Caenorhabditis elegans: one gene and its partner. The protein of the gene in region 2 purifies or fractionates together with the protein of the main gene of each other region. This does not show direct contact. Each region holds a gene or a part of one and is shown on either strand. Other genes may lie near its edges.

Region 1 (17,088 bases), 2.8 Mb from region 2:
TCCCAAAATGCCAATTTTCCAGATTTTCTCGCGTTGAAAGTGAAGGAAATGCCGAAATTATAAAAAAAAATTAGCTGTTTTCACAACAAAAAAAAAGTCGAAACCCCCGAAAAATCATAAAATCAACCAATTTTTCAGAATTTCTCTTTAAAAAGTAAAAAAAAGCTCAAAAATTTGCTTTTTTTTTTCAATAAAAATTTTAGAATTCAACCATTTTTTCAAAATTTCTCGTTAAAACGTTGAATAAGCTCAAAAAAAAGTTTTTATCACAAAAATAGCTGAAAAATGGCAAAATTTCTCTTAAAAAATGAAAAAAAAAGTTCAAAAATTTGCTTTTTCACAAAAAAAAAATTGAAAAAACCCAAAAAATTGCAACCAATTTTCTTCAGGAATTCTCCACAATCCGCGTGCTAGCTCAACGCAAATATCTAATCGCCGAAAAAATGCAAGAACTCCTCAAAAAGTACAAAGTTCACTTGGAAAAGGAGAAAACCACGTTCCAGTGTGAAATGGAGGCCGACAATTCAGGAGTGACCGAAATGATCGAAAAACGATATACCCAACACGTCGAATCTCTGCTCACAGCGAGAAAAGAACGAAAACGTCGTCATCGCGTGGGCGGTGGTGGTGGTGGTGGAGGATCGTCGTCGAGAGCATCGACAGTCGCTTCGGGACCACTTTTATCGAAAGAATCAAAGGACAAAATTCAGCGGATCCTTCAGGAAGGTGTTCGTCTTCGAATGGATCTTTCCGATGAGTCGGCACAATCGGCACTATCATCGGCTATACCATCACCAGCGCCACGTGGGCGCCCGCCAAAGATCGCAAAGGATCAGCTGTTGCTGTCGTCGGCGGCGATGGTGGTGGCCAGTGATGATTGTCTGACGCCAGTGCCACCAACACCGACGGCTAGGGTGAGGAGCTAGCTGAAAATTCGAGAAAATTCGCAAAATTTGGAGCCCACCTACCACGGCCTCCTGTTCAAAGAACTGGCGAAATTTCGAATTTTAGCTAAATTTTGAATTTTCAAATAATATTTTTCAAACATTTTTGAATTTCAGCCTAAAATCCGCAAAATTTGATCGTACAAAAACCTCACAAAATTGATAAAATTTTCCCGTTTTTTGGGTGTTGTTACAAGAAAAATTTGACGAAATTTCGAGTTTTAGCGTAATTCGTCTCTTTTCAACTATTTTTTTAGCCTAACCGCCACATTTTTTAATAAAATTTACGAAAATTGGCCGTTTTTGGGTCATTTTGGACCGTTTTCAGCTAAAAATTAACTTTTTGTTTCGAATTTTCAAAATTAAACGAAATTTGGCTCTTTACTGACTAATTTTTAAGCCAAACCGCCATGATTTTCTGGAAAATCAGCCTATTTACAGGAGGACTAACGGTTTATTGACCCAAATTTTGTGCTCAAATGAACGAATTTCGTAATGAAACTGCTCGAAAATGTATTTATGGCGGTTCAAAATTTCGAAAATGACACTGATTTTAGCTAAAATCTCGAATTTTGGTCATTTTTCCGTGTCACAGCTGTAGGAAGTTGGTTTTTTTTGGAATTATCATCCTTCATTGCATATTTTGGTAGTTTATCTCATTTAATTTCATTGATTATGGTAAATTTAAAGCCAATAGGTAACCAAAAATCATTAAAATTGGTCGCCTATAGGCTTTAAACAGACCTTAATAAACGAAATTAAATGAGATATTAAAACCAATATATGCAATCAAGAATGATATTTCCAAAAAAAGCCAACTTCGGACAGCCGAGACACGGAAAAATGACCAAAATTCGAGATTTTAACTCAAATCAGTGTAAGTTTTCGAAATTTTGAAGCGCCATAAAACATTTTTGAAGAATTTTTGAGCAATTTCAGTATGAAATTCGTTCATTTGAGCACAAAATTTGGGTCTATACGTTCCAAATCGTCCGAACCGTTAAATAGGCTGATTTTTCAGCCTAACCGCCATTATTTTCACGAAAATCAGTCGTTTTTGGAGTGAAAAAACTAAAAATTCTCTAATTTCTCCAAATTTCAGCGCCGCTCAAACACAAATGCTCTCCGCGGCACAGTCTCCATTCCAAGTGCTCTTTCATCAATGATGAATCGTGGTGAATCGACATCCCGCTTCTCACCGAATCCCTCCGAACGTAGTTGGTCAAACGCCGGAATCGACGAATCATCACCGACGCCGACGACAAGCCTACTGATGACACCGACGTTCTCCTCAGGACCGCATATCGTCGTTTCGCCGACGACTCCAGTTCTCCAGAATTCGGCGTTTGTGGTGTCTGAGAGCCGTCATGGTAGAACTCGGAAGCTGACCAGTAGAGTTCAGGAGATGTTTAAGGAGACTCTACAGCGGCAGCGGAATCATGGAAATTCAATTATAGCACTACAGGAGAGAATGAGTGCGGCGAATCTGGCGGCGGCGGCTCAGCACGCTCACGCTCCGACGAGCTCTTCACCACAATCACCACTTCCGGAGATTGAAGGAGCCGCCGAGGATGATGATGAGGAAGGACCGAGTTATCGGATTAAGCGGAGCCATCCGATGATGGCTCCGGGATCGGAGGATGAGGAGGATGAGATGCATTGGTGTTTTTGTAATGAGAAGAGCTATGGAGATATGGTTCAGTGTGATAATCGTCATGTTAGTGTGGGCTTTTTTAATGAAGGGAAAAATTGAATTTTTCTCCGAAAATTGAGCGAAAAATTCAAATTCCCAGCAGAAATAGTGCGAAAAAAAAATTAGATTTTTTTTTGTTGTTTTTTATTACCAAAAATTGATTAAAAAATGTGAATTTTCATCAGAAATAATGCAGAAAATTACTGTTTTTTTTTCTTCGAATAGTGCGAAAAATTGAGTTTCCATCCATTCAAAAAATCAAAAAATTTGGATTTTCACACGAGAAAACAGTGCGAAAAATATATAATTTCTACCTGAAAATTGCAAAATCATGTTGCTATATTTGCGGTGAAAATTCACTTTTTTGGTTAGTCAAAGATTATCAAAGATCTTATTAAAAAAAAAAAAAAAAATTTCCATTCAAAAAATCGAAAATTGAGCGAAAAATTCAAATTTCCAGCACAAAATCAATAATTCGTAATTTTTGATGAAAATTCATATTTTTTCATGGAAAATTGTACAAAAAATTCAAATTTCCACCAAAAATTGAGTTTAAAAAGTGAAATCAGAAATAATGCACCGAAAATTAAATTTTTGTTTCAAAAATAGTACGAAAAAAGTTAATTTTTAACCGAAAATTATTTTTTTTTTAATTTGAATTTCTACCACAACAAAATGCTTAAAAATTGTTAAATAGAGTGTTTCCTTGGAAAAAATCACAAAAATGAAGTTTTCACCAAAAAATTGCGAAAAATATATAATAATTTCTACCAGAAAATGCAAAATTTTGCTTTTTTTTACATTTTTATCGAAAAATTTCACGAACATTCAGAAAAATTGAATTTTCACCAAAAAATTGGAAAAAGTTGCAATTTATATTATTTTTAGGCTAAAATCAACAAAATTTCTGCGTTTTCAACGGTTTTACCAAAAAATGTGTTACAAAAATTCGAAATAGTTGAGCGAAAAAATTAATTTCCACCTAAAAATTGCAAAACTTTGCTATATTTTTGGTGAAAATTCGATTTTTTGTTGGTATTATTATCAAAAAATTTTACAAAAAAAATAGAATTTTCATTTTAAAAAAATCCCGAAAAATTAAAATTTCATCAGAAAAATATTTTTAAAAATTGATTTTCCACAAAAACATGCTCTTGAATTACAAAAGCAACTGAAATAATACGAAAAATTTAGATTTCGAAAATTAAATTGAATTTCCACTGTAAGTATTTCAAAAATTAGAAAAATTAAATGGAAACAAACACAAAAAAACATAAAACACGAAAACATGATTTTTAAAAAATTGTTTAAAATAATTACAATGTGGAAATTTCATTTTTCGCACTGTTTTCGGTGAAAACTCAGTTTTTTTCCACAAATATTACAAATTACATCCATCCATCTGAAATTTACACCAAAAACCTTTAAAACAAAATACAGAAAGTCTGAAAATTTCAACAAAAAATTCTAATATCTAAATTTAAAAAACATTTCTACCAAAAATCTGATAAACTGAATTTTCATCGAGACCATCACCACCAAAAAACTAATTTTTGACCAAATTGAGTGCGAAAAATCGAATTTCCATCAAAAATATTATAAAACATTTTGTTTTCTTCGAAAAGTAATGCAAAAAAGTAAATTTCCGCCACACAAATATATTTAAAAAAAGTTGAATTTTCATCAAAAACTACAAAAAATAGAATTTGCCTGGAAAATTCTAATTTTTTCGAAGAAAACAAAATGTTTTATAATATTCTTGATGGAAATTCGATTTTTCGCACTCAATTTGGTCAAAAATTAGTTTTTTGGTGATGGTCTCGATGAAAATTCAGTTTATAAGATTTTTGGTTGAAATGTAAATTTTTTATAGCACTTTTGTAGCTATATGTTTTTTAAATTTAGATTAGAATTTTTTGTTGAAATTTTGGAAAAAATTATGGGAAAATGGTAGATTTGTTTGTTTGTTTTTTTTTGTTGGAAAATAAAAAAAGTAATAAAAACCACAAAAATATCAGTAAGTTTCAACCTAGATTAAAAAAATAGCTACAAAAATTTGGAAATTAGTAAAGTTGCTAGAATTTTTTAAATTTCTAATTAATCCCATTTCATTTGCAGTGCACCCTCCGCTGGTTCCATTACCCGTGCATTGGAATGGTCGAGCCTCCGACTGGAAAATGGTACTGTCCGCGGTGTGAAGTTACGATGGGAATTGCTCTCAAGCTGTCCGAAGAGGGAGAAGTCTAATATAAATATTATGACTCCCCATCAACGATAATTTAATAATAATAATAATAATGATTGGCCTGAAATTTTCCCAATTTTTTTAAAACATTTTTATCTGAAATTTTCCCCAAAGACTCTGATGCTCTCTCACATTTTTTTTAAAAATATTTTTAAATACCCCAAAAAAACAATTGTAAAAATTCCAATTAATTTTATTTTGCACACTATTTTATATATTCCCCCCCATGTTATGATGTCCCATGATTCTCAAATTTCTCCTGCATTATTCTCTTGTACAATATACCCTAAAAAGTTTTAATAAGGATGAACTCGATAATTTTTAAGATTTTTTTTTTTGGATTTTTTTTTTGAAATTGCATGCCACTTGTTTTTTTACTCTGATTTGTATTTTTTTTATAGGCATTTTTTCCATTTTTTTCCAGATTTTAAGAAGTTTTTAGAGTTTTCGATGGCTGCAGAAAAGAAAGTTTTTGTGATTTTCGATCATCAGGAGCAACGACACGATCAGCCATGGCCATCATATCATATTGAAGTTCCGAGGAGGCTTGATGCGATTTTGGAGAGGCTTAATGTATGGGGGGAAATGAGCAAAAAATTTGGATTTTTAGGGGGAAAAGCCGGAAAAAAAATAAATTAAAATAACAAGCACAACTATTTTCCAATAAAAATGAAAAATACAAATATTTGCATATTTCAAAGAAAACCTCGGAAAAAAAAGACTGAAATTTTGAATTTTTTTGAGAAAATTTCAAAAAAATGTGCAATTTTTTTGAAATTGAAATTTCTGAAGTTTTGGAATTTTTCAACAAAAAACCTTATATTTCTAATTAAAAAACCGCTTTTTTCGAATTTTTCAAAAAAAAATTAAGAATTTTGAATTAAAAAAATTTTATTTAAAAAAAAAAGGAATTTCTCAGAAAAAAAATGCTGTTTCGTAATTAAAACAATTTTATTTTAAAATAACATTTTTTATCGAATTTTTCGCAAAAAAAATGATTTTTTAATGATAAAGAAGAAAAGTTTTCATATTTTACAACAAAAAAAAAACCCCCCAAATTTTCATTTCCAGACCACAAAACTGCTCACCGACCCCCGAATTGAGCACATTCCCCGCCGGGAAGCGGAAGAATCGGAAATTTTGGCGGTACACACGAAACGATATGTGGATGACGTTAAATCGACAGAAACGATGACTGTGGTCAGGATTTTAGCCGGAAAAAATTGGAAGAAAATTGTGCACTAAAAAACTGATTTTTCAAAAAAAAAATTTTTTTTTGAAAAATTCGAAAAAAAAATTATTTCAAAATTTTTTTTTCAACTTTTTCTGGAAATCTTGTTTTTTTTTCACAATTTACAGTTTACAATAACATACAATAACAGAGGTTCGAGGTAAAAAAAATTATGTAATTTTTTAAAATAATTTTTCTTTTGAAAAATTCGAAAAAATAAAAATTTTCAGACCCTTTTTTAATTTTTTTTTCTGGGAATCTAGTTTTTTTTTTTTCAAAATTTTTACTTTTTCTCATTAATAGTTTCAGAAATTACTTTTGAAAAAAAACGAAAAAAAATTTTTTTTTTCAAAATAATTACAACTTTTTCTGGAAATCTGATTTGATTATGATTATGGTAACGAAGTTCAGAGAAAAATCTGTTTCTTTTTTTCAAAATTTGCAATTATAACAGAGGTTTTAGACTATTTTTTTAGAATTTTATTGTAAAATTAAATTTAAAAAAAGTTTGAAAAACTCGAAACAAAAAAAATTTTTTTACAAAATTAGCAGTTTTATCTAGAATAACATGGTTGCAGGTTTTTTTTTGTAAAATTTAAAATAATTTTTTTTTTATTCCAAATAACTTTTCGAAATTTTTTAGATTTCGAAAGTTTTTTTTGTAAATCCTTTTATTTCAATATTTTTTTCAAAATTAGAAGTTTTTTACCTACAATAACAGAGTTTTAGGGTATTTTTCAGATCTATTCGGAAAAATTTCATCAAAAAAATTTGTTTTGAAAAATTTCAAAAAATGTTTTTGCAACATTTTTATATTTTTTGGGAATCCCTTATTTTTTTCAAAAATTCTTTGTAAACAATAGAAGAGGTTTTAGGCTATTTTTTTGAATTATTCTAAAAAAATTACACAAGACATTTTTGAAAAATTAAAAAAAAAATTTTTTTTGAAAAATTTCAAAAAACGTTTTTGCAACATTTTTATATTTTTTGGGAATCCTTTTATTTGATTTTTTTTTCAAAAATTTTTTGTCCACAATACAAGAGGGTTTAGGCTATTTTTCAGAATTTTCAACAAAAATGTTTTGAAAAATTTTCAGGAATTTCCAAAAAAAATGTGTTTTTTTCAGACGTTCAAAAAAATTCCAGCAATTTTTTCCAATTAAAAAAAATTCCAAAAATATCGATTTTCCCAAATTTCCAAAATTTTCATTCCAGGAGCAACAAGAATCATTCTGCACCAAATACGAAGACATCTACGTGAACTCTGCCACGTGGCACCGTGCAAAACTCGCCGCCGGCGCCTCAATCGACCTGATGACGTCAGTGATGGCCGCCAAAAGGCCCGGAATCGCGTTTATTCGGCCACCCGGGCACCATGCGATGCCTGACGAAGGATGCGGTTTCTGTATATTCAATAATGTGGCAATTGCGGCAAAAGCGGCAATTCAAAATGGTCAAAAAGTGCTCATTGTGGATTATGATGTACACGCTGGAAACGGGACTCAGGAGTGTGTGGAGCAGATGGGAGAAGGGAATGTACAATTGATTAGTATTCATCGTTATGAAAATGGACATTTTTGGCCGAATATGCCACAGACTGGCATTTATCATAATTGTTAGTGTTTGTTGCAAAAAAATTAGAAAATTAAAAAAAAAAATTTTGAAAAAAAATTGCGTAGAAAAGTCAAATTTTGAAAAAAATTGCAAAACAATTTTAAAAACTTTTTTTTGAAAAAAAATTTCCGTCGAAAATTCAAAAAATTTAAAAAAAATTTGAAAAAAAATTTTTCTCAAGAAAACAATTGCGTGGAAAATTCAAAATTTTGAAAAAAATTGCAAAAAAATTTTTTTTGACAAAAAAATTGCGTGGAAAATTCAAAATTTTGAAAAAAATTTAAAATAAAATTTTTCTCAAGAAATAAATTGCGTAGAAAATTCAAAAATTTGAAAAAATTGCAAAAATAAATTTTTTTTCACAAAAAAATTGCGTGGAAAATTCAAAATTTTGTTTTTTACGGTATTAGGTCTCGACACGAAAATTGTGTGTTTATTGCGAAAAGGTGTGCGCCTTTAAAAATTACTAAAATTTGGAGATTTGCGGATTTTTTTGAAATGAAAAAAACTGAAAATGAAAAATCGATAAAAATTCCGCAAAGTTTAGTTAACTTTTTGCAATTAACAAAACAATTTTCGTGTCGAGACCTTTTTTTTTTGAGAAAAAATTAAAATTTTGCGATTTTCCGAATTTTCTAGTAATTAGGGTATTTTGAAGGAAAACTCTTACTGAAATTGCGATTTTTGCGCCGAAAATACGGTATCACCGGGGTCTCGACACGAAAATTGTCTTGTTAATTGCGAAAAGGTGTGCGCCTTTAAAGGGTGCTGTAGTTTTAAACTTTGCGGAATTTTTTATCGATCTTTTAAAAAAATCGATAAAAGTTCGAAACTACAGTACTCTTTAAACGGCGCACACCTTTTTGGCAATTAACAAAAAATTTGTCGTGTCGAGACCCCGGGGGTGCCGCATTTTTTTTTAATTTTTGGCGCAAAAAAGTCACAAAACAAATTGAAACAGTGATTGAAAACAAAAATTATTTGAATTCCCTCTAATATGCGAAGCCACGCCCACTGTCTAACCAATCAGCGCCTTTGAACTCCGCCCACTCTGTCTGATTGGTCGAAAAATGGGGGCGGAGCGAAATGCTGATTTCAAAATTTTGGGCGTTTTTAAGAAAAAAAATATAGCAAATTTTCAAAAAATTTTGCAATTTTGGCTCAAAGTTCGCAAGACCAATCAGCGAACCCGGCTCCGCCCACTGCGCTGATTGATTAGAAAAGGGGGCCTCAAACAGACCAATTTTTAAGCATTTTTCCAGACAAAAACACGATAAACCTGCCGCTAAACACCATCGGGCTCACCGATGCCGACTATCATGCTCTCTTCACTCACATCATTCTCCCCACCATCCATGCCTTCCAGCCCGATCTTCTCCTAGTCTCTTCAGGCTTCGATGCCTCCATCGGCGATCCTGAAGGCTCGATGCAAGTGACGCCAGCAGGATTCGCTACGATGATTCGGATGCTTATCGACACTGGGATCCCTGTGGCGGCGCTTCTCGAAGGCGGCTACTTCCTGGATGCACTGGCCGCGGATTCGGAATGGGTGTTGCGGGCACTGCTGGGCGAGGAGATCCCACGGATTCGGGTGGAGAAGATCCACTCGGCGATCGCTGACACGATTGGAAGAGTTGTGAAGAGATATGAAGGTTCTTGTCCGTTCTTCAAGAAGGTTCAGGAGCTCCGGGGGATTCTGGGATGCCGAGTAGCCGAGGAAGATCAGCAGGAGGAGGCTACAGACTACACGGGAGAACGGACGGTGCACCCGCCGTACGAGACACGTGGCATTTATACTCCGTTCACAGAGCAGAAGGTGGCGGAATTTAAAGGTCCGGTTCGGAGGGGCTGTCCCATCAGGCTGTCCCATTACGCTTTGATCTACAAAAAATGCGGGCATTTTTTCCCCCAAAAAATGTGACGTCAGCAGAACACTCTGCGTCTCTTCTCCCGCGTTTTTTTTGTAGATCAACGTAGATCAAGACGAAATGAGACACTCTGACACACCACGCATTCAAGATCTGGTGGGATTCCGGATCTACGATTTCCAGATCTGGGCCAACGACGATGCTCCGATGTTACGCGCCGCGTGTGCTGTTAAGCGCATTTTCCAGAAGAAAATTTCAAAAAAAAACCGCGCTTCCGTTCGAGCACGTGGTGTCAGGCTGTCCCATCACGGTTTGATCTACAAAAAATGCGGGAATTTTTTGCTCAAAAAAGTGACGTCAGCACCGGGCTGTGCGGCAACCGGGATTTTCGGCAACCGGCAATTGCCGAAGTTGCCGAACCCAAAACTTTTCGGCAACCGGCAACTCGGTTGCCGGTTGCCGCTCAGCCCTGGTCAGCACACGTTCTTAACCATACAAAATCAGTTGAGAACACTCTGGGCCTCTTCTCTCGCATTTTTTGTAGATCAACGTAAATCAGGCCGAAATGAGACACTTTGGCAGACCACGTGTGCCAGATTCGGATTCCTCTCAATTTTTGTCAATTTTCCGAAATTTTAGATCAACTCGAATCGATACTCGCCAGCTACACAACCCCTCCCGACTTTTCCGCGGAAACTGAAGCATTCCACAGTGCCATAGCCCCTCACAGCTCAGAAATCAACGATTTCTACTTTGGAGTCCACGAGGACAAGATCCTGCTCGGCACGAGCCCAGCGGTTCGGCTTTTCTTCGAACTTCTCTTCACCGCACCCTACGACCCGAAGCACACGATAAAGCTGTACGGAAAGGTGAAGCCGGAGGATTTTGGCAAAATTGAGTTGGATTCCAGAAGTCTTGGGGAGATGAAGAATATTTCGATTTTTAATAATTTACCCATTTTTCAATTGTGATATGTGATTTTTTTTTGTTGGTGAATTTAACAATTAATTGTGATTATCTACTGTGTTATCTACTTGAAATGAATATTATTTCATGAAAAAATCTGATATTTAACCTGTAAACGCTAAAAAAAAAACAGAGAAAATTGGGATATTTTTAATATTTCCACAAAAAAAAACCAAATTTTTGCCACTTTTTCCTCTTATTAAATCAATTTTTCAACAAAAACCTCTGATATTTGCCTCTTCAGTGACTTTTCCCTCGTTTTAAATTGATTTTTCAGCGAAAAACCCTTCTTTCCTACTTTTTCCCGTGCTAAATTGACTATTACCGAAAAAAAAAATCAATTTCTGCCATTTTATACTTTTTTAAAATTAAATTTCTGACGGAAAACCGAAAAATTAGCATTTTTGCAACTTTTTCCTGTTTTAAAGTGATTTTTCACCGTAAAAACCCCCAATTTCCGGAAATTCCCGATTCAATAAAATCCGCAAACACAAATATTCCGACCGCAACGCGACCGCAACGCGTCTCTCCCCCCACTTTTCCACTTTCCCGCCATTTATTTATTTCATTTGTCCAACTCTACTGCCTCCTCTGCATCGTTGCTCTATCGATAAATTTTTATTTTATTTATAAAATTACAATTACACCGTAATTTATCACGGAAAAGCTTCGCCGAGCCCGAAAACCCGGAAAAATTGTGAGATTTTTCCAGAAAAATCGATGGAGACCGCGCCAGACGAAGCGCCAACCGAGTTCTTGGAACCTGGCGAGGAAATTGTTGAAAGTGAGCATTTTTCTGGGCTCAAAAAGGCTCAAAAAAGCTTAAAATATTTTTTAAAACACTGTAAAAATCTGCAGATGTGATCGAAGAGGAAGTAGTGCACGAAGAAGACGTGGAGCATCACGAAGAAGACGGAGAAATGATTGAAGTTCAGCATGAGGAGGTGCTCGAGGAAATTGTCGAGGAAGATGGAATGGTCAGCTGGGAATTCGCGAAATTCCATCATTTTTGCGATTTCGAAAATTCGAAAAATCGATTTTTAACGAATTTTCACGAAAAATCGAGGAAAATTCCAATTTTTCTTGCTTTTCTAGTATAAAATATCAATAAAAACCAAGCATATTGTTTTAAATCAGCAAATTTTTGGTTTTTTTTCACGAAAATATCAATATTTTTCCCTCAAAATTCACATTTTGAGCCGAAAAACCACTTTTTTCCATGGTTTTCGATTTTTCCTCTTTAAAATATCGATTTCTATGGGAAAAATCATGAAAATTCGCTAGAATTTTGCGATATTCAGCGAAAAAGTCCAATTTATCCTACAAAATGCCGTAAAATGACTGAAAACCAGCAAATTCCGGATTTTTTCGCTACAAATTCACATTTCCAGCTTAAATTCTCCAAAATTCCGCTATTTTTCAATAAAATCCAGATTTTTTTTTGCTGAAAATTCAAATTTCCAGCCAAAATTCCGTATTTTTCGTTAAAAAATCACATTTCCAGCCAAAATTTTCTAAAATTCCGCTATTTTTCACAAAAAATCCGTACTTTTCCAGCCAAAATTTTCTAAAATCCGCATTTTTTCATATAAATTCCGGTATTTTTTCTCTAAAAATTCACATTTCCAACTGAATTTCTTTAAAATTCCGCATTTTTTCACTAAAAATTCACATTTTCATCTTAAATTCTCTAAAATCCGCCAATTTTTCATAAAAAACCCAGATTTTTTCGCTAAAAATCCACAAATTTCCAGCTAAAAAATATCTGAAATTCCGCAATTTTTCGCAAAAATTTCCAATTTTCCACCTAAAATTCCGATTATAAGCTGCAAAATTACAAAAATTTCACAAAAAAACCGTGAATTTCGGGAAAATTCCACTAAAAAATCGGGTTTTTGCCCAAAAAATTTCTTCAAAATCGCCAAATTTTCATGTTTTTTCAAATTTCTTAACTTTTAAAACGCATTTTAGGGTGAAAATTTCACGAAAAACACATAATTTCAAGAAAATTCCGCCAAAAAAATCGGATTTTCCCCGAAATTTCCCGAATTTCCAGATGTACGACACCGATGGCCGTGTAAAATTCTCCAAAATTTTGCTATTTTTCACAAAAAATCTGGATTTTTTCCCTGAAAATCCACATTTCCAGCTTAAATTCTCTAAAATCCGCATTTTTTCATATAAATTCCGGAATTTTTGACACAAAATTCACATTCTCAGCTCAATTTCTCAAAAATTTCACCAATTTTTCGCTAAAAATGCAAATTTTCAGCTTAAATTCACACAAATTTCTCAATTTTTCATATAAATTCCGGAATTTTTGACAAAAATTCACATTCTCAGCTCAATTTCTCCAAAATTTCACCAATTTTTCGTTAAAAATTCGCATTTTCAGCTAAAATTCTTTAAAATCCGCCAATTGTTTGCTAAAAATCCCGAGTTTTTCATCGAAATTTCCGATTATAAGCTGCAAAATTACAGAAATTTCACAAAAAAAAACCGTGAATTTCGGGAAAATTCCACAAAAAAATCGGGTTTTTGACCAAAATTTCGTCAAAACCGCCAAATTTTCATGTTTTTCACATTTTTAAAGTAAAAATTTCACGAAAAACCCGGAAAATCCGCCAAAAAAAATCGGATTTTCCCCGAAAAATTTCCCGAATTTCCAGATGTTCGACACCGATGGCCGTGTAATCGAGTACAGTGACGTCATGGTGTACGAAGAAGGCACCGAAGTGATCGAGGAGTACGTCGAGGTGGAGGATCTCGGCGACGGCCGCTACGCCTACGTAATGACCGACGATATAGGCCATCGGCGCCTACTAAAGCCTCACGAGGTGGAGGCCGTAAAGAAGATGCCCGGCATGATGGAAGAAGAAGTCGTGATGGATGATGAGAAGGCCCCAAATACAAGCTACGCGGCGGCCCAAAAGAGGGGTAGATTTCCTCCTCAAGCCCGAAGCAGCCTAAGCCCACAAAAGCCCAGAGCCGCCGGGGCCTATATGGGCCCAGAGGCCTACTACCAACAGCCCAAAAGAATGACCCATATGGCAAAGGTGGACGTGGAAAAGTACTCGCCAGTGACACCCGTGAACCGTCGGCCGCTAATGGATAACGCGATTTTTAAGTCTAAGCTTCCCAGAAAAAGTGCTCCATGGCAAGAGGAAACTGCTGCCAACGGGGGGCCCCAGTCTACAAGCCTCATCAGATCCCCGTCCCCAATGCTCAAAGAGCCCCTATTCGATGATAACGAGATTCGATTCAAGTGTGCAGAGTGTGGAGATGGATTCCCTGTAATGGATCGACTCTGTGATCATATGATCAAGCAACACGACTGTCAGACAAATGTCCGAGAGGTTCAGTTCTTCGCAGATCGGGATTTCGAGAATTTCCTGTTAAAAGTCGAGAAGGCCACCCTGGGCCGAGATCCTGAAGACGCGATTCGCAAAAAATCACGAGCCGGCTCTTCGCAGCTTTTCGTGTGTAATTATATGAATAAAGGCCGCCAAAAGATGGCCGAGCTTGTCGAAGTTGGCATCGTTGGGCTCTCCGAGCGACCGCTTGAAGTTTGTACGGCGTTTGTGCAGAAAACTCATGGATAGTGAGTTTTTTTGTTGCACTGCAACTTTTTCCTCACGAGGGACGAGGAAAAGTGGTTTCTAGGCCATGGCCGAGGGGCCGACAAGTTTCAGCGGCCGTTTACCTTGCTTTGTTTTCCGCCTGTTTTCTTTTGTTTTTCACTGATTTTTTTCGTTTTTTCTTAATAAAACTGATAAATAAATATTTTTTGCAGATGCTAAAACAATTTCCAAGTAAAAAAATTATGTATTCAGTGGGCAAGCAGCGGTGAAAGTGGGCAATGTAAAATGATGGATTACGGGAATACAAAACCTAAACTTTTTCTTAAACATGATACATATGCTGCTTAGATGCTGTAGCTACCTGATTTTCATAACGAGACCGCTGAAAAAGTTTTGAGGTTTCCAAAATTCAACTTTTTGCGCGGAAATCTCGACTTTTTCTCTCGACTAAAGTTGAATTTTGGAAACCTCAAAACTTTTTCAGCGGTCGCGTTATGAAAATCAGGTAGTCTCAGCATTTAAGCAGCATATGTATCATGTTTAAGAAAAAGTTTAGGTTTTGTATTCCCGTAATTCATCATATTACAATACCCACTTTCACCGCTGCTTGCCCACTGAATACATAATTTTTTTACTTGGAAATTGTTTTAGCATCTGCAAAAAATATTTATTTATCAGTTTTATTAAGAAAAAACGAAAAAAAAATCGATGAAAAACGAAAGAAAACAGGCGGAAAACAAAGCAAGATAAACGGCCGCTGAAACTTGTCGGCCCCTCGGCCATGGCCTAGAAACCACTTCTCCTCGTCCTTCGTGAGGAAAAAGTTGCAGTGGGCCACGATTCAATTTTAACTTTTAAAAATTGGAAAAAAGATTTTTTTTTTGGCAAAAAAAATTAAAAAATGTTCGTTTTTTTTCAGCGAATGCATCCGCGTCAAATACTGCGACCAACACATTCACTACGACGGAAATATCGGTTTTCGAGTGCCAATAGCCGTAAAACGACGGCTTTTTGAAATGTCATTCAAACGGCTTCCGATTCCGTGTATGCAAATCATGTTGGGACTAGAAGCCGAACAACTTCTTCCACATCCCACCAGATTTGAGGAAAAGCTCAAAAATCTGTCACACGTTGAAATTATCGAGCTTCTGCAGATTATCAACGCCTCGTTGCGGAAACATCAGGAGGTTGAGCCGAGGGGAAAGAAGGTTCCCATCAAATTTGGTAAATACTCGGATTTGGAGCAATTTTTTGCGATTTTGAGCAAAAAATCAGAAAAATCTGCAAATTTCACCACATGTGTTGATTTACGCGACTCGTGTACTCCCCGAGGAGAACGAGAATTTGCAGTTTTTGGAATTTTTTGGCTTTTTTTTTTGTAGAAAATTCCATTTTTGCTGGCTCAGATTTTGAGCTTTTTTTTTCGAGTTTTTGAGAAAAAAAGCCATTTGTCGATTTAAAGTAAATTTTTCGGAAATTTCTACTAAAAAAATTCAAAAATTTTCTCGAAAACTCTGAAAAAATGAGGATATTTCTTTAAAAAATCAATTTTTTTTCTCAAAAATTCTGAAAAATCAACTAAATTTTTGAAAAATTCTATGAAAAAACGCCAATTTTTTCTACTTTCTACTAAAAAACCAAAAACTCTGAAAAAATGGCAAAATTTCTTTGAAAAATCAATTTTTTTTTTCTTAAAAAAACTCGAAAAAATGGGGAAATGTTAAAAAATATCCATGGGAAATTCCAAATTTTTCTTGGAAACGCACAAAAAATTTTTTTTCGGAAAATTTTCGAAACATTCAAATTTTTTCTCAAAAACTCTGAAAAAAATGGGAAAATGTTAAAAATGTTTGAAAAAAATATCTATGAAAAATTTCAATATTTTTTTTTGAAAACACACAACAAATTGAAACATTTCTATTAAAAAATTTAAAAAGTTTTAAAAAATTCAGTTTTTCCCTCGAAAACTCGAAAATAAATTGAAAAAATTCTTGAAAAATTCCAATATTTCCTCAAAAACTCAAATTTTTTCTCAAAAACCCAAAAAAAAAAATTAAAATTTCTATTAAAAAATCTGAAAATTTCAAAAAAAAAATTAATTTTTTCCTCGAAAACTCGAAAAAAATTGGAAAAATTTTGGAAATTTATAATAAAAAATCAATTTTGTTTTTCCAGAAACCATAAAATCATCTGAAGGCTCTCAAACACTGATGGTCAAGCGTGTAACTCCGCCGAAAAAAGAGCACATGGACTACGATGAGCCGGACCCGAATATTCCGTCGACCAGTGCTCAGGCTCTTGGCTATAATCCAGATGATGATGAAGGGGATGATGTTCCGATGATGTCGAGAGAGGAAGAGGTGTTAGACGATGAGACGGGAGAAGAATCTGTGATGACGGAGGATTGTGATGGAATGATGGAGGATAATATGTGTTCGTTTTTGGTGTTTTTTTGCTGGAGAAAAAATGGAGAAAAATGAGCAAAAATCACTGAAAATTTGAATTTTTCTGTAAAAAATTCATTTTTTCAGTGAAAAATTGAAGAAAATCGAGCAAAAATCAGTGAAACTATAAAATCTATAAAAATCGATTTTTCCAGTGAAAATTTGAGCAAAAAATAAAATGCTCGGGACATTTTCGATTTTTCAGTGCAAAATTGGAAAAAATTGATGGAAAATCACTGAAACTATAAAATTTCATGGAAAAATCGACTTTTCGGTGAAAAATTGAGCAAAACTTGATTTACCAAAAAAAAAATAGAGTTTCCAGAAAAATGCGATTTTTCAATTGAAAAATTGAGGAAATTGAGCAAAAATTCACTGAAACTATGAAGTTTCATGGAAAAATCGACTTTTCGGTGAAAAATTGAGCAAAAACAATATAGTTTTCGGAAAAGCGGTGAAAAACCCGCAAAAATTCATATAAATATATACAGTTTCCAAAAAA
Region 2 (13,933 bases):
ATCCCAAAGAATCGAATTGCATTTGTTGTATCCGTTTTTGCAAATGTCCCACTTCAAAACAACGAAGGTCCATTTGTAGTATGCACAGTCAACCGATATCAAATCCCTGAGCTTCAAATTCACCACAATTTCAAAATGTCAGTAATGTCGAATCGTCTCGAAGGATTCATCCTACGTTACCTCCGACGACGGGCGGTAGAGGATGAGTATCGTCTAACTGTACAGATGCCATCAGAGCTCTTCAAAATCATTGACTTCTTCCCAATAGCTCTTCAGGCCGTCAATAATTTTATTGAGAAAACGAATTCTGTTGATGTGACAGTTGGTCCAAGAGCATGCTTGAACTGTCCTCTAACTGTCGATGGATCCCGTGAATGGTTCATTCGATTGTGGAATGAGAACTTCATTCCATATTTGGAACGTGTTGCTAGAGATGGTAAGTGCGGTATATCCTACTTAAATATAACCTGAATGATTTTCCAGGCAAAAAAACCTTCGGTCGCTGCACTTCCTTCGAGGATCCCACCGACATCGTCTCTGAAAAATGGCCGTGGTTCGATGGTGAAAACCCGGAGAATGTGCTCAAACGTCTTCAACTCCAAGACCTCGTCCCGTCACCTGCCAACTCATCCCGACAACACTTCAATCCCCTCGAGTCGTTGATCCAATTGCATGCTACCAAGCATCAGACCATCGACAACATTTGAACAGAAGACTCTAATCTTCTCTCGCCTCTCCCCCGCTTTCCTTATCTTCGTACCGGTACCTGATGATTCCCCATTTTCCCCCTTTTCCCCCCAATTTCCCAGAACCTCCTGTTCCCTTTGTTCCTAGTCCTCCCGGGTGCCGACGCCGAAGCGATTTAAAAACCTTTTTCTTTCCGAAACATTTCCCATTGCTCATTAATAGTCAAATTGAATAAACAGTGTATGTACTTATAAAATAATCAGTTCATAAAATAAAATAAAAAACACATAAATAATAATAAAAGATCATTCGGAATCAATAAGTTCCAGTTTCACAATTATAACTGAAACATTATCACCACACTTTCTGCGAACGGCTTCTGCAGCCAACTTTTCCGCCACAACTCTCAATTCAGCAGCTTCACGAGACTCGTTAGGTTCTTGTTCGATATCGGTCTGAAAAAGTCAAATTTTATATTTGAAACATTATCAAATGCTTTAAATAATTTTTAAGCGTTCAAGAAACTTTATTTCAGGTAATTTGTCAGTGACAGCCCAGGCGGAATAAGAAAATATTCACAGTTTTCAATGTCAGATGAATTCAAATAGTTACCTAAATTACAATCATTCCACATTTTCCCATCATCCGATTTACTATAACTTCTACAAAGACCAGCGTGAAAAATAAAAGGGCAACCGACTGACCACGAACTACTATTTATTACATTACCTCTGTGCAAGAAAACCAGTTTCATGTGATAGTCATCACCACCGCTACATTTTGATATCACTTATTATATAGTTCGTAAGATCTAGATACACACCCAAATAGTCTCCAATCCTATCCTCGAAGGTCTTCAGCGTACATATGACGTTGAAGCTTTGTTTATCGGAAATTCAGATCAGCAGTTGATTGCGAAGTGATACGGTTATCAGTGATTTGCAACGAACGATGGATTTGTCATTTATCTATCAGTTGATCCGAAAATGAAAGGAATTTGATGACGTGATAAGGCCTTAGCACTAGAATTCTGAGAACTACTCTGCCCAAATTGAGATCGCCGATCGCGGATTGTGTTGAATTTCTGCTCTGCCTTGCCCTCAATTTAACTTTGTAATTCCAAAAAAACTCATCAGTTTAATTTGTGTCCTCAATTCTTTAATGAGTCTATCACTTCTTCTCTTGCATGTATCTTATAAATTTACGATTCGGTTTTAAATCATTCCTTATCATTTTTGAAAAATCAAGTGAACGACAAAAACATAGCTTCGCTTCAAAACTATCCGCCTTCTGACTTCGTGACGACAGTCTCGACACGTGGGGTTGCAGGTAGGAGTGGATGAGTCGAAACTGATAAGATAGTCATTTGAGATCACGAATCATGATAAATGATCTTGAAATGTGAAACTAGTTATTCATATGGTTGTAGTAAGAAGTAGTTCGTGGTCATTACTGCCCTTTTATTTATCGCCAATTTTTTTGAAATTAGCGGTCAAAGACAGATTGCATGACATTATAAGTCTAGTTAACTGAATTTCAGCCAAACTTCAGGAGATTATATTGAAGCTCTGGACAGCTAGACCTGACCGTTTGCAGAGGCAGTACTAGAGTATAAGTACTTTTGTTGTCATTTTGTTTTGGACGGATATACTTTCGAAATCGACAAGTCATATGATCCGACTTCTGAAACAACTTTATCAAAACATAGTACTTTGTAGGACAGAATTCATATGTTAAATTCTAATTTCTATTGCGGCAATTCGAGAAACGTCGGAAACTTTCTCAGTGTAAATATGACGTCGGGTAGCTTCTGCTGATCAATGATCTGATATGTGTACAGTTGAATACAAGCCACAAAAGTATTCTTCGACCCCGGATATTGCGATTTCTGCAGGATGTTCTTTGTACTTTTTGTTTGAAAACCAATCTTTTGATATTTCCTTATCAATTCGTTTGCATTGTTTTTATCTAGCTGCAGCAATATTTCAAGGGATGTACTCTCCAAGTTCTTGAAACGTGCATTTACAGAATATGGCCAAAGAACAATTGTATCTTCTGCCATCTGATAGCTGGGGGATCGTTTTCTATCAATGATAACTGATTAATCAGCTGAACCGACTAGCAGAGAGTAGGAATTTCGGTCAAACGTCATATGTTCGCTGACTTCGTGACGGATACGCTAACACATGGTGGTGAATGGGGGGGGGGGGGGTAGTATGTAGAATGTTTTGATTTACGGTCAATCTGGGTACGAATTGTCAGATGAACCTAGTATAGGTACAATTGAAAAATAGTTCGCCGAAGCACGTGATCCTATATAAAGCAGGGGTGTACCGGAATATAAGGTTTATCCTTCAATTGCCTAAAATTCTATTGTGGCCCTTAACTAGGATCCGAGTAGATCCATTCTAGTGGGATCACACTTTTTGTAACGCTCTTTAGTCCCCCGAACACCTTCCCGCTAAACATGATCCTAACCTTCTTTGCAGCCTCCAACTGCTCGACTGCAAACGAAACAGCTTCCAAATTGGAAAATGATTTCCAGAGACCGTCGCAGGCGATGATGGCAAATCTGAAACAAATCGAATTAGCGAATGTCGTTTAAATTGCGAAGGAATCAAATCGATGACACATTGAAGATCATTTGTGCAATGGTTTTATGGTTTTATGGATGACAACGCTGCGCCTTTAAAAGTAGTTTTTGTTATTTCGAGGAATCTCATTTTCGCCGTTTTATGTTCAACTCCGTAGGTTGTGCAATAACTTTTATTGTATGTTGTTAAAATGTTACGTTCCTTTATAGCTAGAAACACCAGAAATTATTTTTTTCGATGTTTCGGAGACGTACTTAGTACATAAGGGGTTTCTCTTTTCTGAAATATGGTGTCTAATCCAAGGATCAAAGAGACCATTCTTTCATAATTTCAGCTTTTGCTCTCTATTCTCGTCTTCGAGGCTCTCATCTAATCCAATCGATGTCCAGTGCGCGCGCTAAGGCAGAGTGCTCATATTTGCCTCTGTGCGCTCTCTCGCCTCTTGCCAGAGAGCACTTTTTTCTTTTTTCCCCAATTGACCTGACACTTATTCATTAGGATGTCGATCGATGAGAGCCTCGAAGATGAGGATATTCCTCAAACTGCTCAAACTACAATTACTAGTTATTGTTCTAGTGACGTCATCAATAGTCTCAACGAAGCAATGAACCCACTTATAGAGCAAGGTCTAAAGGATATTGGAACAAAACAGGTAAGTCTAATTTTTTATAACATGAAGTTTTTGCTACGTGGCCTAGTGATGTCAAAAACTCGACCAATCATTTATTTTTCTTTTTCTTGTTCCTGAAACTTGCCGAGGATGGTCTTGAAAAGGGGTTTCTAAAATTCCAAAAAGCCGATTTTCGAGAAAATCTTAGTTAATTTTATGAGAGTGGTCGAGTTTTCTTATTTCACGGCTACGTAGTAAAAGTGGACGCTATGCTAAGGAAGCTTGGGATATCCCGCGATCCTTTGTTTCTTCCGCATGCTTATCTGATCATAGTTCGTAATGTTCATTGAGCGTTTGATTTCGATATTAATTTCGATTTCAACGCCAATGCCACCTTCAATTTTTAATTTCCGTTGTTGGAATTTTCTAATAACCCGAATAACCACTAGAACAACAGGCACGTGTGAGTGTAGGCGGGCGAGCGTCTTGATATCCTATGACACAGACTGTATGAAATGGGGCGGTACGATTACCGGGTGTCTTTTGGTCCGTAGTTGGGTATAATAGGGAAAAAGTGCGGAAAACGAGTTAGTTTCTACGACAATGGCTTCCTCGGTCAAAGTTACACCAGTTAAAGATATTGCTCATCTTGAGGAAGCACATTATGTCGAGGAGGTCGACGTGCGAAACGATAAGATCAAACTTGAATCGATTTTTGAAGGACTTGGAAGCTTCGGAAGGTTAGTTTTTAATATTTTTTGAGTAAGGAATTCTGGCAAAAATTACCGTAGTTTCCCTATTAGACTTGCACCATTTCAGTTGACGTTTGCTCTAATAAAAAACTGTCAACTGACAAAATACTTGTTAGTACCTTGTAGAATACTGTTTAACTTGTACTTTTTTTTCATTCCTAACTAAAATTTCGTGAAATTTTTCCTAAAAAATTCATTCCTAACTAAAATTTCGTAAAGAACTAATCATTAAATCATCAAAATTTCAGATTCCAACAAATCCAGTTTATCTTGATATGTATACCTATCGCCTTCGTCTCGATGCATGTGATGAGTTGGACTTTTGTGGTATCTCCGGCCAGAAAAATGTAAGTTCATCGGTCAAAGACGCCCACGTGGTGCTGAAACTGTCATACGTAATGACGTCTGCTGTAGTGATATAGTATCAGGAAAACAAACATCGTAAATATATTTGTTCATTCATTCCTTCCTTCCTACAGATGCAATGAAACCAACGAAACACGGATTGATGGCTGCGAGGAATTGGCCTACTCTGCATCTGACAGGGTAAGAACAACATCAACGAACATTTGAATTTCAAATAATTCACATATATTTCCTATTTCAGTGGGAAATGGATGGAGATAACGGATGGATCCGAGCAACAGTCCAGGCAGTATACTTCATAGGTCAAATGATTGGATCCTTCACCTGCGGAGTCATGGCAGATAAGATCGGACGAAAGAAAGTACTTTTCTGGTGCCTAGTGCTTCAAGTGGTATGCGCTCTCTTATTAATTGTAGCTCCCACTTGGTGGATCTATGCGATTTTGAAGTAAGAAATCCTATCATGATTTCCAGTTACATAAAATAAATTTCCAGAGCTGGAACTGGATTCACTCAACCTGGGATCTATGGAGTCGCCGTTGTCTTGGGAATTGAGCTTGTTGGGAAAAAGTACCGTAGCTTTATTGCAGTCATTGCCAACGTCTTCGGTGTTATCGGAGGGGTAATTTGAAAATATCAGGACTTAAATATTAAAGAACTTGTTTCAGGTGTTACTGGCAGTAATGGCCTACTTTATAGTAGACTATAGGCTTTTGCATGCATCTATTGCAATTCCATCCCTAATCTTCATAACCTACTATTGGATGATCCACGAGAGCGCCCGCTGGCTTGTATCTCAAGAAAAATACGACGACGCCAATGTAGTTCTGTGTGCAACTGCAAACTGGAACAAGAAAACGATTCCAAAGAACTGGGCAGAGAAAATAGAGAAAAAGATGGATGTGACTGCAACAAAGAAAAAGGACTCGTTCGGAGTCTTTGATCTAATCAGAACACCTCAGATGAGAAAACGAACCATCGCAAACTTTGTGATGTGGCCAGTGACAACTATGATGTACTACGGATTGACAATGAGAAGTGACGTTGGCGGAGGCAGTTTGTTCGTCACATTTGTCACTTCTCAACTCATGGAGCTTCCTGCTGTCATCATCGTTGCATTGCTAATTGACAGACTTGGAAGACGTATCATGTATTCTGGAGCTATCTTCACTGCTGGAATGCTTCTTCTGGCTAGTTGGCTTACACATGACTTGATTCCGAGTCAATATGCAGTTATTATGCTGATGGTTGCAAAGGGAGCTGTGTCAGTTGCATATACTGTCATGTACACCTACACATCTGAACTTTTCCCAACAGTTATTCGCAATACTGCAGTTGGATGTTGCTCGACAATAGCTAGATTTGGAGCAATCAGTGCTTCTTTCATTGCATTCTTTTTGGTGAGTTGAGCTCAAAAAAGTTCAAAAAATTCCAAAACATTCCTAACTTTTCAATTGCAATAATTTTAATTTTCAGGTTGATAGATTCGGCCGAATCGTCATGATTATCCCATTCACAATACTCGCTTTATGTGCATCAATTGTCTCATGGACAATGTTACCCGAGACCGTAAACCAACAACTTCCTGACTCGATTTCCGAAGTGGAAGGCAACAAGATTTAATTTTCAACATTTACTTTAATCATTTTCACACTTACCCTCTTCATAATTATTCTAATAATTTTTGTATGTAAATAATGAACTTACAAGTCATTTTTGGTGAGCGTCAGTTTTTTGAGATCCGGAGTACTGATGATGCCAAGTGATTTGAATGGCAAATCTCCAATTGAACGAGACACTTCGATTACTCCATTAATTCGACCATCTCTGGAAAATTAATAGTTTATAAATCGTAATTATTGAAAGCAGATACATCATAAATTACCCAAAATGATTGGAAACAGTCTCAATATACCTAGTATAAACGTTTAAATTATTTTTAGCATTTTAAAACTTTTTTTTAATTTTACAACAAAAAAACTTCTAAAGGTTGTATTATTTTTGAATTCACGCACAAATAAATTGCCTAGTTTTTACATTTATTCGTTTTCCGGCTATTAAAAAAAAGATTTTCATTGTTTTTCAAATTGCTTCTAATTTACAACATGTTGCAACATCGATTCAAGTCAGAAAGCATTAAAATCAGTAGATCTAAAACTTCAACTCACTTCACAACTGCTCCAGCTTTCTGAATTCTCATCCTTTCATCATGAGACATTGGATCGTGATCTACAGTAAGACAAACTGGTGCAAATGATCCATCTTCTTTCTTTCTAGCAACAACAGCTCGACTATCACCAATATTTGCCACGTAGATCACATTGTTCAGAATGATCATGGTGGTCGCGGTGGTTCCATCCTTCCAGATAGGTTTACTGAAATTTTTTAATTTTTTAAAAAATTAATTGGGGAATTTTTATCTCATTAAATCATACTTCTGTTTGGCAATTGCCAAAAACCCGTCGTCCACTGCTTTGTAGGATTCTGTGAAGGTCTGCTTGAGTGATTTAGTCAATGTTGGGAAATCCGAAACTGAAATTTCCGAAAATTTAATTTTCGAACAAAAATATCAAAAGAATTGAATACATTTGGCAAGTTTTTCTTTGACCGTTTTACCCATCTGACTCTGACAATGCTCTGCGGCGCGTGGTCCTGCGTGACCATCAAAAATCGCGAAAAATGATGCACGAGACCTGAAGAGGGAGTATTGGAAACTGTGAGACTTGGACTTACAGAAATGATTTTTCGGTTCCTAAATCGAATTTTGGAAGCATTATGTGAGTGTCTTGCATGTCAGCTCGTTCTCCTTTTCGACAACCGTACGCGGCAAGAGTGCAGTAAAGATCTTTAAATATAATTGGTATTTTTATTATTTCAGGCGCGAAATTTTGTGTTTCTTGGACCAAAAATACGGTACCCAGTCTCGATACGACAATTTTTGTTAAATACGAACAGATGTGCGTCTTCCGAATTTTTTTTATTTATTTTTCAGAGTTTTTCTCTTGATTTTGTAAATGTTTTAATCCATAAATATATTTTTATCGAAAAACTACAAAAAGTCGATAAAGATTCTGCAACTACACAAGTTTGAAACTACAGTACTCTTCAAAGGCGCACACCTGTTTGTATTTAATAAAATTTATTACTGAGATCGTGGTGAGACTCACTCTGAAACAACCAGCGTGCGCCTTTAAACTGAAGTTACGATACTTTTTTTTAAAATTGAAATAAATTTTGAAGGTTTTTCGAGGCACCACGGTTTCAAGATCTGATGGGATTCCGGATCTACGTTTTCCGGATCTACCATTTCCGGATCTACGTTTTCCGGATCTGGCACCGTGCCAACGCACAAAACGCTTTTCAACGCACGACTTTTTTCGAAATTTTCTTCTAGAAGAAACGCTTAACAATACGCGACGGGTAACATCGGAGCGTCGTTGTCACTTTTTTCTTCGAAAAAAATAGCGATTTAAGAGTTGGCACGGTCAGATCCGGAAAACGTAGATCCGGAAAACGTAGATCCGGAAATGGTAGATCCGGAAAACGTAGACCCGGAATCCCACCAGATCTTGAAACCGTGGTGTCTCGGCTTTTCATGAATTTCCAGTTTTCAAAGTTTTTCTATTTTTTTTCTATTTATTTCAATTTTCCCAAGCAATTTTTTTCAAAAATAATCAATAAATACTCACTTCTCGATTCCTTCGGTTTTTTCGATTCATCTGAATTATCGATCAAGTCATCAGAACTCCGTTTTCTGCTATCCGAGTACATTTTCTGTAAAACAAATTTGTTAGCTTGGAACATTTATGCACATTTTTGGTTTTCCTTATCGAGATTTTTCAACAAAAAATTGTGTTTATCCTGTCTAAATTTAAAATTTCCGCCGATTTTGTAGACGTGCAAAAATCGCATTGATATTCGCTAAACAACACGCGTAATCGTTATTTCGGAGTGTTGTACGAACCGCCGAATTGATTTTGTCCCTCCTTCTCTCTTGTTTTTGTGTGTTCTCTATTCAGAAAGTAGCGAATTTATTAAAATTTTCAAATTTGATTAATGAAATATTTAATTTGAAACAGATTTTTCATGTTTTTGCTCCAAAAATCAATAATTCCAGGATGGCCGCGTCTCTCCGTCATATGGCTCACTTCCAGAAGGCACTTCTCGTCGCCAGAAGCGCTCCAAGAATCTCAACAATCGTTAGAGCCACCTCTACTTTAAACGATGGAGCCAGCAAAGTTCCAGACCACTCTATGCACTTTAAGGTGGGAATTTTAAGGCTTAAAAGCAGAGGATAATCATAAATAATTACAGCTTGAACGTCTTTGGGCCGTTGGAATGCTCCCAATTCTTCCAGCATCCTACTTCATCCACGGACCAGTTATGGATGCCGTTCTCACTGTTGCCCTCACTCTCCATATTCATTGGTAAGGGAATTAAATCGATTTCACATATTATTTACTGAAAAAGATGGAAAATTTCGAAAAAAAAATCATAAATTAATTGTAAATATTATTAACAACAAAAAAATCAAAATTTTTCAGGGGAATCCACGGAGTCGTGTACGATTACGCTCGTCCATACGTGATCGGAGAGGCTGCTGCAAAGGCCGCTCACGTCGGAGTCTACCTCATCACTGGTCTTCTGCTCGGCGCACTCCTCCACTTCAACACCAACGACGTCGGAATCACCAAGGCCTTTGAACTAGTCTTCTCCCTCTAAATCAGTATTGAGAAGTTGAAAAGCTTTCATAATCCGTGTTCCGCCTGTTCATCTTCCCCGCTTCTCTGTTACTGCGAAATTTCCCCCGGCCTCAAGATTTAGTTCCGAGTTCTTTTCTAGTTCGAATTTTAATGTATATTCTTCCAAATGAACTGTTCTAACATCTGCCGAATTGATGAGATAATAATGAACGAATTGGATTATTTTATTCCAAATATTATATTGATTTTATTCAGATTTTTAAAGTTAAAAAATGAATTAAATATAATTATATTCAGATGGTTCACTCAGATGAATATAAAGCGAAACGACTTGAAAGGAAAAAACGGTTTATGCAACAAGCGAAGAAGAACAACGTTTTTAAGGTATAAATTAAGAAATAAATAACAAAATTTATTTAAATTTATATAGAAATAAATAACAAAATTTATTTAAATTTATATAAAAAATCAATTTTCAAGGCTCGCCGACGTAACAACTTCTCAAAACGACCGAATTTCCACAATCACCAACAGGAAAACCAACAGGAGCAACAATTTCAAAAACAAGACAGCACAGCTCTCAGACAACGTGGATTCTTCCAAGTTCTTCCAACTGATGACCTTCCACAAGTTCCGCAGTGCTCTCATGGTCCTTGTCTGCTGTTCGAGAAGAAAAATGGTCCAGAAGTCGAGGAGACATTCTTTGCATGTGCAATTTACAGAAATCAAGCCGAATTTTGCGATTTTAAGTTGACTTTCAACAAAGAAACCGGAGAAATTGAGGTGAAAGAAGCTGTCGAAGGAGAAGAAGACGCAGAGAAAAAGAAGAAGAAAAAGAAGATTTTTGGATATAATCGAATCCCAAAAGCGTGAGTAATTAAATGTTTTAAGAAATTTCCGAATAAAAAATATAATAATTTAATTCAGTCTCACCGAAATGTCACCAACGGACACAGTTCTGTATTGCAAAACGTGCATTAATGTGTTCCCGAACAAGCATGAATGTGTCTGTGAGCCCGTGGAACGAGAGGCTCTCGAACGACCAACTCACCTTCTTCCACCAGTAAATGAGCAACATGGAGAATCAGTGAGTATTTTTGCATTTCCAAACGTTTTTATTATCCAGACGCTAAATTTTGCTGGTTTCGGCACGACAAATTAAAATGGCGAAAAAAAAAACAAAACGGATGTGCGCCTTTAAAGAGTACTGTAATTTCAAACGTTCGATGCTATGGAATTTTCATCAATTTTCCATAGTTTTCCCACGATTTGTTGAATTTTATTTGTTTTATTTGATTTATTTAAGTTTTTTGAAAATTCGAAAAAAAGCGCTTTCAAACGCAAATTTTTTTCTATTTTTCCATAGTTTTTCGTTGAAAATATTTTTTATTTATCAAAATAGTATATTAAAAACAACTAAAAAAGCACATAGCTTTAACAAATTTCGAAAAAATCGATTAAAAATTGTGCAGCAACAAAAGTTTGAAGTTACAGTTCTCTTTAAAAGTTAACAAAAAAATTTTGTGTAGGTTCACCTACTTTGGCTCAAAACAATCTGCACATTTCATAATTATCACCCCAATTTTCAGCAATTCTTCTTCTCCACTGAGACACTTGATGTCATCACGAAAGCTGTTGAAAAATCAAAAGTCGACGGAATTCTGTGCATCGGAGCTCCTAGAGTGAGTTTTTTTTTTGAAAAACGAATTTTCAAAATCAAAACTTGGAAACAAAAAACATTTTTTTCAGATCTTTGAAAACATTCGAGCCCTTCACCCGGAAAAGAACGTGTTCCTGTTGGATTATGATAAACGATTTGTAAGTTATTAAAACCATTTCCTTTTCAAAATTTATCTATTTCAGGCCAAGTTCTTCCCATCGAAACAATACGCTCAATACAGTATGCTCGTTGATCACTTTTTCGATAAAATCGCAGAGCCAAAGCTTATGGAATTCTTCGATAAAAGCAAAAGCATCCTAATGATCACCGATCCACCATTCGGAGTTTTTATGGAACCACTGCTAAAAAGTATTGAAAAGATGAAGAAACGATTTGTGTCAACTGGGAAAGAGGAAACCTTATTTTATTCGATGATTGTTCTGCCGATTTATATTCGAAAATACGTGCTTCATGGAAACTTTTGGATGTCTGATTACAGAGTTAGTTTTGGAATTTTTTTTTGCTCAAAGTGAGCAGAAATGACCAAAAAACCGAATATAACTTGTAAAAATTTGAAAAATAATTTTCTAAATTAAATAAAAACAATGTTAGTGGGTTTAAAACTAAATTTTTGAACAAAATTTTTTTATTATGAATTTTCAACAAAGAGGTTTTTTTTAATAGAAACATTCAAATTATTTTTGAATTCAATATTTTTTACTTTTTCCAACTATAAAGAAAATCACAAAGTTCTAAATTAGCCTTAAAAATCGAAAAATGAACATTTATTTTAACTATTTTTTTTGCGAAAAAACGTCCGAAAATTTTATAAATTATGTTTAAAATCAAACAAAAAAACCTATCATTATACTTAAATATAGGCGGAAAACGAAAAAATGTCGAAACTAGGTTGCGGGAATTTAAAAATATTTCGGCCCTGTTACCACTTAAAAAAAAAAAAATTTTTTTTTAAGTAAAAAAACAGTTTTATTCGGTTGGGACTATTTCCTGCCATTTAGGGCAAAAAATGTATTGAATGTTACTTTTTTAAAATTTATTAAATCATTTTCCAGGTCACCTACGAGGGCCACAAGCTCTATCAACATTCCGAGAAAACGATCGTCCGCCTGTTCACCGATTTGCCAGTGGAATGCATCGATTTAAAGAACGTCGCCGGCTACAAATTCTGCGAAGTCTGCGATCGCTATGTCACCGAACGAAATGTCCATTGCGATCGTTGCCAGGCGTGCACATCAGTGGAACAAGGAAAATGGAATCACTGCGAGAAATGTGATAAGTGTGTCAAGCCGAGATATGTGCACTGTGCTCAATGTGCCAGATGTCATTTGTACGGGAGATGCATTCAGAAGCATGATGAATAATTGTTTTTTGGTTATTTTAAGGTTGTTCTGTTGAAATTGTTACCCTTTTTCTTTTATTGTTATTGTTTTTTGTTTCCCATTCCCTCTATCCTACTACAAAAGTTTTTTGTTTTTCTTAAATCATCATTTTATTAAGATGAAAAATCGCCAATTGTTTTTTTATTCTTAAGATGAGAACACGAAATCCTTCTCCTTCTCTACTAGTTATTCACACTTTAGAATTGAATACTCCACACACTTATTCTCTATTAGTGTTTGCATATCCTTCCATCCTAACAGCTATTCAACTGTTTCTTTCCGCTCCTTCTAGGCTTCTGATGACGTGGCAGCAGCAGAAGCATAGACCGGAAGCAGATGACGTTGAAATTCGGACACTTCGTGTCGTGACTCTCATCTCTGTCGGGATTACTGTAGCTGCGATATTACTTGGATTATTTGGCAGTGTTATTTTATTTGCGAAGACTTTGACGTTTCAGGTTTCAATAAAAAAACATAATTTCAGCTAGCTTGAAGTCTATTGCAGAACGAACTAGAATATGAGCTACGATATTGTGTGTCTAGATCTCACGATTTATGGGACATTCTGTCTCAGGTTAGTTTTGTGGAAAGAAGCCATTAAATGGGCGGAGTCTATTTTAGCTTTTTATTTATTTTTTAGAATATTTTTCGGAAATCGAAAAGTACTCGAAATATATTAACATACAGGCTCTGCCCATTTCTTGGCTGTTTTACATTTTCACAACAATTTATCCAATTTTTGCTGAGTTTCAATTTTTTTTAAAATTTCCTTTCATGTTTGCTGTAGTGTAAGCACAAACTTGCCTTATTCCTACCTTCAAGGCGACCTATGACTGCCTTGCGCCTACACAATAAGCACCGTAGGTAGGCGATAGGAAGGCATGAGTGAGGTACTAACGACGCCTCGAGCAGAGGAATGTTCGAAAAAGTGTCTAGAAAATGTAAATATACATTTGTCAGAAATAAATCAAGTTTTTTTTTCGAAAATCAGAAAATATTTTTTAAAAACCATTTTTCACAATTTTCGTGATAGCTTTCTACTACATATTTTCTATTTTCTGAAATTATTTGTATCGTGATTCCGTAAAATTTTGACATGCCAGTTTAAAGGTGCATGCGTAAATTCCGGCTGGGTCTCGCCACGATCTCAGCCACAGTGTCT

What was found.
Region 1: the proteins of ilkp-1 (region 2) and hda-10 fractionate together in Caenorhabditis elegans (co-fractionation; one large-scale study listed by BioGRID). This does not show direct contact.

What each region holds. Positions count from the first base shown.
Region 1 is NC_003280.10:13,877,381-13,894,468, forward strand, and holds hda-10 (Histone deacetylase domain-containing protein), read left to right. Parts: upstream 1-5,324; 5' UTR 5,325-5,332; coding exon 5,333-5,455; intron 5,456-5,953; coding exon 5,954-6,082; intron 6,083-7,328; coding exon 7,329-7,728; intron 7,729-8,989; coding exon 8,990-9,559; intron 9,560-10,234; coding exon 10,235-10,566; 3' UTR 10,567-10,653; downstream 10,654-17,088. Other genes in the region: ing-3 (Inhibitor of growth protein), read left to right, coding at 390-914, 2,047-2,661, 4,756-4,884; mcd-1 (Modifier of cell death), read left to right, coding at 11,282-11,345, 11,420-11,538, 13,231-14,162, 15,062-15,366, 16,318-16,575.
Region 2 is NC_003280.10:11,045,106-11,059,038, reverse strand, and holds ilkp-1 (PPM-type phosphatase domain-containing protein), read right to left. Parts: upstream 8,785-13,933; 5' UTR 8,780-8,784; coding exon 8,698-8,779; intron 7,854-8,697; coding exon 7,742-7,853; intron 7,702-7,741; coding exon 7,595-7,701; intron 7,541-7,594; coding exon 7,444-7,540; intron 7,384-7,443; coding exon 7,177-7,383; intron 6,874-7,176; exon of another isoform or gene 6,836-6,873; coding exon 6,716-6,835; exon of another isoform or gene 6,632-6,715; coding exon of another isoform or gene 6,485-6,631; intron 6,409-6,484; coding exon of another isoform or gene 5,677-6,408; intron 5,631-5,676; coding exon of another isoform or gene 5,504-5,630; intron 5,457-5,503; coding exon of another isoform or gene 5,251-5,456; intron 5,190-5,250; coding exon of another isoform or gene 5,123-5,189; intron 4,991-5,122; coding exon of another isoform or gene 4,892-4,990; intron 4,632-4,891; coding exon of another isoform or gene 4,495-4,631; exon of another isoform or gene 4,453-4,494; intron 3,934-4,452; coding exon of another isoform or gene 3,781-3,933; exon of another isoform or gene 3,716-3,780; intron 3,260-3,715; coding exon 3,166-3,259; intron 1,143-3,165; coding exon 993-1,142; 3' UTR 915-992; downstream 1-914. Other genes in the region: Adapter protein unc-53, read left to right, coding at 1-436, 484-707; F45E10.2 (Major facilitator superfamily (MFS) profile domain-containing protein), read left to right, coding at 3,781-3,933, 4,546-4,631, 4,892-4,990, 5,123-5,189, 5,251-5,456, 5,504-5,630, 5,677-6,408, 6,485-6,631; sdhd-1 (Putative succinate dehydrogenase [ubiquinone] cytochrome b small subunit, mitochondrial), read left to right, coding at 9,127-9,273, 9,323-9,435, 9,553-9,730; F33A8.4 (CTCHY-type domain-containing protein), read left to right, coding at 10,009-10,095, 10,192-10,580, 10,639-10,798, 11,301-11,393, 11,461-11,529, 11,575-11,871, 12,445-12,753; col-83 (Nematode cuticle collagen N-terminal domain-containing protein), read left to right, coding at 13,071-13,229, 13,277-13,345.